Linked DNA regions of Ovis aries. The protein of the gene in region 2 interacts with the protein of the main gene of each other region in a pairwise test. Links are inferred from orthologs where the notes say so. Each region holds a gene or a part of one and is shown on either strand. Other genes may lie near its edges.

Evidence for each region.
Region 1: the proteins of AIRIM (region 2) and E3 SUMO-protein ligase ZBED1 interact in binary tests that used the Homo sapiens proteins (3 or more experiments, as listed by UniProt). The two-hybrid records come from large-scale screens. The link is inferred for Ovis aries from reciprocal best matches to the Homo sapiens genes AIRIM and ZBED1.

What each region holds. Positions count from the first base shown.
Region 1 is NC_056080.1:6,131,652-6,135,706, reverse strand, and holds the start of E3 SUMO-protein ligase ZBED1, read right to left. Parts: upstream 2,913-4,055; 5' UTR 2,830-2,912; coding exon of another isoform or gene 2,721-2,829; intron 2,068-2,720; exon of another isoform or gene 988-2,067; intron 1-987. Other genes in the region: dehydrogenase/reductase SDR family member on chromosome X, read right to left, coding at 2,721-2,829.
Region 2 is NC_056054.1:12,495,841-12,499,329, forward strand, and holds part of AIRIM (AFG2-interacting ribosome maturation factor), read right to left. Parts: coding exon 3,331-3,489; intron 1,150-3,330; coding exon 978-1,149; 3' UTR 862-977; coding exon of another isoform or gene 824-861; 3' UTR 1-823. UniProt on the Homo sapiens protein: Part of the 55LCC heterohexameric ATPase complex which is chromatin-associated and promotes replisome proteostasis to maintain replication fork progression and genome stability.

The DNA.
Region 1 (4,055 bases), on a different chromosome or scaffold from region 2:
CCTTCCTACAGGGAGTGTTAACCTCATCTATTCACAGGCGGGCAGGGACAAACTCTCTCTTCAGAGCTAAATCAATGCACTTTAAGTGAAAGTCGCTCATTCATTTAGGAATCTTTGCGACCCCAGGGACTGTACCGTCCATGGAATTCTCCAGGCCAGAATACTGGGGTGGGTAGCCTTTCCCTTCTCCAGCAGATCTTCCCAACCCAGGGATGGAACCCAGGTCTCCAGCTCTGCAGAAGGATTCTTTATCAGCTGAGCCACCAGGGAAGCCCCCCAAAGGCACTTTATTTGACAGTCAAACAGAGAGGCAGGGTCCTGCGGGCAAGCCACTGAGTACGATTATAATAATAAAGGGGCTCCCCTGGTGGCTCAGACAGCAAAGAATCTGCCTAGAATGCAGGAGACCTGGGTTCGATCCCTGGGTCAAGAAGATCCCCTGGAGAAGGGAATAGCAACCCACTCCAGTATTCTTGCCTGGAAAATCCCATGGGCAGAGGTGCCTGGTGGGCTACAGTCCATGAGGTCGTAAAGAGTCAGACAGGACTGAGCGACTTTCTTTTTTTTTCTTCTTTTTCTTTATAATAATAAAAACCGAGTCAAAGAAAATAGCTTCCAACATGGAGTCAGAATTGGTGACTTCCTCCCTGTAATATTTCCACATTAATTATTGTATACTGTGTGCACATTTATATAGGCCATACATACTGTTAAAAAAGAAAACATCTGATGTTTAAAGGCAAAAAACAGAACTCCCCTGGTGGTCCAATGGTTAAGACTTGGCCACTTCAATATCGGGTTCAATCCTGGGTGGGGTTGCTAAAATCCCTTATGACTCAGGGACCAAAAAACCAGAGAAACATAAAAACAGAAGCAACGCTGTAACGAATTCAATAAAGACGTTAGAAATGAAACAAAACAAAACAAAATCCCAGCTAGTCTGCATCTGAACTGGGCCTCTGGGTTACAGTTTATTTAGCTGCATACCTGGGCAAAGTTCAGTGTCTGGCCCGCCAGGATCCTCTGTCTGTGGGATTGTCCAGGCAAGAATACTGGAGTGGGCGGCCATTCCCTTCTCCACGGAATCTTCCCCACTGGGATCGAATCCTGGTCTCCCGCCTTGCAGGCAGACTGTTCGCTGTCTGAGCCCCCAGGGAAGCCCGCAACCTCCCCTGGGTGCTCTGCAACTTAGGGGCAGTGTGGGGCAAACATGGGACTGCTCTTCAGAGCCCTTCACTGTTTACAAGTCAGCCCAGGTGCCAAAGCTGCACTCTGCCTTCCACTCTGCCTTCCTCTGCAGTCTTTTCCAGTCATGCTCCGTGTGCTTTTTAAAAAACAGCACCAAAATGCAGTTTATCAGAAAACTAATCGCTTAGCTCAACATAAACCTGCGAGATGTATCTCCCCGGGTGAAGACCCAGGGAGGGTAGGAAAAAAAGTGCTCAGAGCTGCAGGTGTGCAAGGCCTGGGCCCTGCTGGGCCTTCCTGCAGGTGGAGGCACGGGAAGGCATTTGCACAAGCATAGTAACAGCCTTTCTGTTTTTCCACCCCAATCTCCCGGGGGTGGCCAGGGTGGTCAGGGGCGTTACCCACAGGCTGCCGGGTTGGGGGGGAGGGCGGTGTGGGCTATGCCAACACCCTTGAAAACCCAGTTGGACTTAAGAATCTCTGTCTCCTCTTACCCCAGATAATAAAGAGAGTCATTACAAGGTAACGGGACACCGCGCTTCCCAGAGAATACTTTGTTTCCAAAAGTAGCTGTTTTTCTCCTAAAAAAATTGACATGTCATTTACGGCACACAGACCCTAGAGTTATTTTGACACTCTGCAAGTCAAGAACAGACAGAAACACCGGTTTCCTCGATCGAAGTCCTGAGAACACCGAGGTGACCAGACAGACGGAGACTCCCTCCCAGATTGGTGGGGAAGGGAGGTGGGGGGGGGGTCCCTAATATGCGTGAAGACGCGAATGGGTCCCCGCACCGCCAAGATTGGGCCCCGAGGCTCCGCGCAGGTGGCGCAGGCCAGAGAAACCGGCGGCCACTAAACTGAAGCTCCCCTCTCCAGGGCTCCTAGACCCCCTAGAAGCCGCCTCCAGCCCCTTGGCGCGCCCCCCAACACCGCCCCAGCCCCCCAGTCCCTGCAAACCCGGGCAGGCCCCGTCCTACTGGAGCCCGCGCGGGGCCGGGATCTCGCCCCCCCGCCCCCGCCTCCCTCCGGGATGCGGGTCTGCAGAGCGCAGGGACCCCGGGGTGGGGTGGGGGGGCTCCCGCCGTGGTTGGGGCGCGCACGGATCCCCTGGAGAGACCCCAGCCCCCGGGGCGCTGGGGAGGGCGCGCCTTCCCCCAAGCCGACCCCCGCAGGCCGCCCGGCCCGGCTTCCGGGAGCGCCCGACGCGGCGCGCACGAACCTGCGACCCCCGGGCCAGGGCGCGCGGGACCCCCTGGCTACCCCGGCCCCCGGGGCGCGCGCGGAGCGGGCGGGGCGGCGGGGAGGGCGCGCCTCCTCCCCCCGCCGGGCCGCCCGGGCCTGCTTCCGGGAGCGCCCGACGCGCCCGCCTCCCCGCGCCCCTTCCCAGCTCCGCCCCGAACCTGGGGGTCCTCTGCACGGGCGGAGGGCGCGCCCCGGGCCCGGCGACGCGGGCCCCCGCCAGCCCCCTGCCGCAGCCCCGCCCGCGCCGCGCGGCCCCGGCCCCTCGCCGCCGCTCCCCGGCCGCTGACCTGGCTCCACGAAGCCCCGCACGCAGCGACGCAGCAGCTGCGCCACGACCAGCGCCGCGCCCACCGCGTACACCCGCAGGGCCGCCCGCGCCGCGGACAAAGGCGACATGGCTGCCCCGCCGCCGCCGCCGCCGCCGCCGCCGCCGCCGCCGCTTCCGCGCCGCCGGCCGGACTCGGAGCCCCGGGCCCGACGGCGGAAACGCGCCCGCGCCGGCCCGCCCCGCGCCGCGCCCACGCCCCGCCCCGCGCGCGCGCGCCCCCGACTCCCGCCCCGCGCGCGCCCCCGCCTCCCGCCCCGCGCGCGCCCGCGCCCCCGCGCGCCCCCGACTCCCGCCCTTCGCGCGGCCCCGCCCTGCGCGCACCCCCGACTCCCGCCCCGAGCGCGCCCCCGCCCTGCGCGCACCCCCGACTCCCGCCCCGAGCGTGCCCACGCCCCCGCGCGCCCCCGACTCCCGCCCCGCGCGCGCCCCCGACTCCCGCCCCGCGCGCGCCCCCGCCCTGCGCGCACCCCCGACTCCCGCCCCGAGCGTGCCCACGCCCCCGCGCGCCCCCGACTCCCGCGCCCCCGCTCCCCGCGCGTCCCCGACCCTCCCGAGCGCGCCCCCGCCCTGCGCGCGCGCCCGACTCCCGCCCCGAGCGCGCCCACGCCCGCGCGCGCCCCCGCCCCGCGCGCGCCCCCGACTCCCGCCCCGAGCGCGCCCACGCCCCCCCCCGCGCGCCCCGGACTCCCGCCCCGAGCGCATCCCCGCCCTGCGCGCGCCCCCGACTCCCGCCCCGAGCGCGCCCACGCCCCCACGCGTCCCCGACTCTCCAGAGCGCGCCCCCGCCCTGCGCACGCCCACGGCCCGCCCCCCCGCGCGCGCCCACGCTCCCCGCCCTGAGCGCGCCCCCGACTCCCCAGCGCGCCCCCGCCCCTGCTCGCGCCCTGAGTCCCGCGCGCGCCCCGACTCCAGCCCCGCGCGCGCGCCCCCGGCTCTCCCGTGCTCCCCAGCCCCTCCTGCACGCGCCCCCGTCTCGCGCGCGCGCCCCCGACTCCCACCCCCCCTGCCGAGTGCGCCCGCGCCCCAGCCTCGCCTGCCCGCGCCCCCGACTCCCGCCCCCCGCGCGCCCCCGCCCCGCGCGCAACCCCGACTCCCGCCCCGAGCAAGCCCCCGCCCCCACGCGTCCCCGACTCCCCAGAGCGCGCCCCCAACTCCCGCCCCGAGCGCGCCCCCGCTCCACTGCGCACGCCCCTGATTCCCACCTCGCGCGCGTCCCGGACTCTCCACGCGCGCCCCCGACTCCCGCCCGGCGCGCGCCCCCGCCCCGCGCGCGCCCCCGCCCTGCGCGCGCCCC
Region 2 (3,489 bases):
GCAAGGATCACAACCATTTCACAGATTAAGGCACTGGGCCTCAGAAACACAATCCTGATTGCCTGACTCTGGACTGGGGACCTCCCATCCATGCAGCTACTCCAAGATCAGGGGCCTGTAGCAAATTGGCTGCCGGCTTTGGTAAAAAGAAAACCATGTTATTTTAAGAGCCCCACTATCCCCAGTTACTTACTGTCAGTAAGAGCAACAAGGGAACAGTTCCAAATGCAAAACACTCAGAATTCATGCTACACCACCTCCCCCTGGTGGAATGCTCTAGAAAGTGTCCTGATGACAAGGAGCCGTTGCAACTGGAAGACAATGAGTTTTCCATCAACATCACCTTCACTTCTTTAAATCATCAAAGCGACATTTTTTTCCATCAAGGAGTCAGGTACTGACAAAAAGAGAGGAAATTAGGACCTGGTGTCAATGAGGCTGAGAGTCTTGGATGATGCTGGGGGTGGTGCCAACTCTCTACCCTGGCCCTTTCCTTTCTTACCAGCCCTTTCTGTGGCTGTTGCTTCTGTCCCTGGTGTTCTTCTGCACCACCTTTCCTGCATCCTCTCTGCCTCTGTCCACTCTCCTGAGTCTTAGGGAAGGGCAAGGTGTGACCATGTACCCTCACCCATGACCCAGCATGAAGCAGCCCCAACATCAGGAATGTCCAGCAGAATCCGCTGAAGAGCCAGTCCTCAGGCGCTGGGCACTGACATTTCCAGTAAGTCAGGACGCAGTACTGACATTTTTTAGACATACAAGAGGGCAGCAATGTCGGTCTTCATCTGTGTCCCCCGAGTCTCCCGATAAACACATGGCCTCTTCATTCTTCCAGGAAGAAGGAAACATTCAACATGACATCTAGAACAGGAAGAGAGAGAACATGCGGCATACCAGCTCTCCAGAAAACACGAAACACCAGATCTGTAAAAGCTAGAGGCACCAGGAGGGGGAACCTCTTCGTGATTCCAAAGAGGCTAGACACACAAAGGAGGGGAGCAGACACGAACGACTGCATGAAAACCAGCACCTCGTACAAGGTCCGGGTGTTCATCTTCTGAGATTCGGTCCCAGGCTCTGGGCAAAGCTTGGATGTTTGCCAAGTCTTCCCATTGGATTGACGACAGGAGGTACTTCCTCTTTAGGTACTTTCCTGGGAGTTAAGGAAGGTGCTCAAAAAGAAAATGAAATGTGCTGAAGGAAGAAAATACCCTGGAGAGCATTCCCAGGAGCTAGAAAAGCAAAAGCACAGCTATCATTACATTTACCAGGTGGGCAGGCTCACCTCCATCCCACTCCAGTACTCTTGCCTGGAGAATCCCATGGGCGGAGGAGCCTGGTGGGCTGCCATCTATGGGGTTGCAGAGTCGGACATGACTGAAGCGACTTAGCAGCAGCAGCAGTAGGCTCACCTCTGCTACAGATCTTTACCGAGCCCCTCTATATACAAGGTTCTGGGCTACAGGGAAGGGATGAAACACTGCCCTGCAAACTGGGATCTCACTGTGGTGAGAAAAAAACACAACAGAAACTGAAAAGACTCTAAATGGGAAGAGATAAAACTCAGTGGAAGTTCACAGGATAAATTCATCCGCCCTAGAGCAGGGGTCCCCAATCTCTGGTACCCGTCTGTGGCCAGACGGGTTAGGAACTGAGCCTCCCAGCAGGAGGTGAGCGGTGGTCCAGAAAGCGAAGATTCACCTGCCACTCCCCACTGCTCGCATTACCATCTGAACCGTCCCTGTGGAAAAGCTGACTTTCACAAAACCAGTCCCCAGCGCCAAGAAGGGTGGAGAACCACTGCTTCAGAGGACAGTAGGAAGATTCCGGCTGGTAGGAAGAGCTTAAACCAAGACAAAGAAGAGGGGAAGCACGGAATGGATTCAGGACAGTACATCTTCCAACGAGATGCAGAATGGAATCGTGTGTAGGGAGCAGGCAAGGCAGCTGAGCAGGCAGGTGGAGGGAGAAGACACAGACCAGTGTGCGGGGTCTCACCCCCGGGACACAAGAAGCTACGGAGAAGCCCTACCCAGTTGGATCAGAACAGGGACTCCTGAAGATAAACCTGTAGTGTGGCCACGACCTCGAGGTAGCTTCTTCCTTCTAAGGAAAGAAGCCAGGGTCAGAGAAACCTGCCTAGAGATGGCATGCGACAAAGGATCCAAGTGAGACTGTGGCACAGGCAGTGGGGATACAGAAGGGATCTCCAAGAAACACCAAGGAAACAGAGCGGAAGGACTGGACAGTGGAGCCAAACACCCTTCCAACAGCACCGGCACACAGGAAGAGCTCATGACGCCTGCCCTGGCTGCTGCCGCCAGCGCAGCCAGCGCCGCTACCGATGCCATCAGCAAACAGTGGGCTCGGGGGCAACCCTCCGGTTTACAGACTACGTGACGCTACAGCTGAAGAAGGGAGCTGATGGGGTGGGGGCTGATCTCCATCCACTTGAGCCTGCAGTTCCATGAGATTCCAGTCAGGAGGCAGCTGCAGGAAACTGAAAATCAAAACTAGAGGCAAGAATAAATGAAGGTAGAAACTCCAGCCAGAGAGTAGACGCGCCTATCGGGCAAGACTAGAGAGAAAAAGGGAGCGGACTCCAGTGAAACGGTCTTTTGGCTTCCACCCAAGTCTTCCCTCAGAACACAGATGGGTGATAACATAGGTCTGATCAGATTACTCCTCTACTGAAAACTTTCTACAGCTTGTGTCTCTCTCAGAATAAAAGCCCAACTCCTTCCAAAGACCTCAGAGGCCCTACCAGCCCTAGCCCTGTCTCCTGACAGCATCACCTGTTAGACCAGGCCCACTTGGCTCGAGCCCTACTGGCTGCCTTGCTATTTCCTGAACGGACCAAGTTCACTGTCACCTCAGGCCCTTTGCACTTGCTGCTCCTTCTACCTGGAACACTCTTCCCCCAAACATCCACACGATTCTTCCCCTCACCCTCTTCACATCTTTTCTTAGAAACCACTTTCAGGGCAGTGAGGCCTGCCCTGACCACCCTATTTAAAACTACAAGCCCACCCTTAACCCTTGCTTTCCCCAATCCCTGCTTTATTTTTCTTCAAGACACTTAACATCATCTGACATTTTATATATTTTCCCCTTTTTAATGTCTAGCTCCTACCACCTAGAATAAAGCCTGGAAGGTGGCATCTGCTCAATAAATGATTTGAGGAATCACTGTACAAAGGGATGCAGGAGGAATGCACGTCCAGGAACCAAAGAGAACTGACTTACACCATGTATTTTTGTGTAATCTGGTGAAAACTGAAATTAACAAGACTTCCTGGAACAGCTCTGTGAAACGTGTGCAAAGGATATGAATTCCGATAATGTCTCTCAATGTCCTGCAACCACTCCAACATTTCAGCCACAGAGGGGCTTGCAGCTGAAGCCTGCAGGACAGCATCGAGGCCGATCGCGTCTGCGTGCTGCTCATAGATCTGAAGCACGCGCTCCACGTGGCTGCTGACCACATCA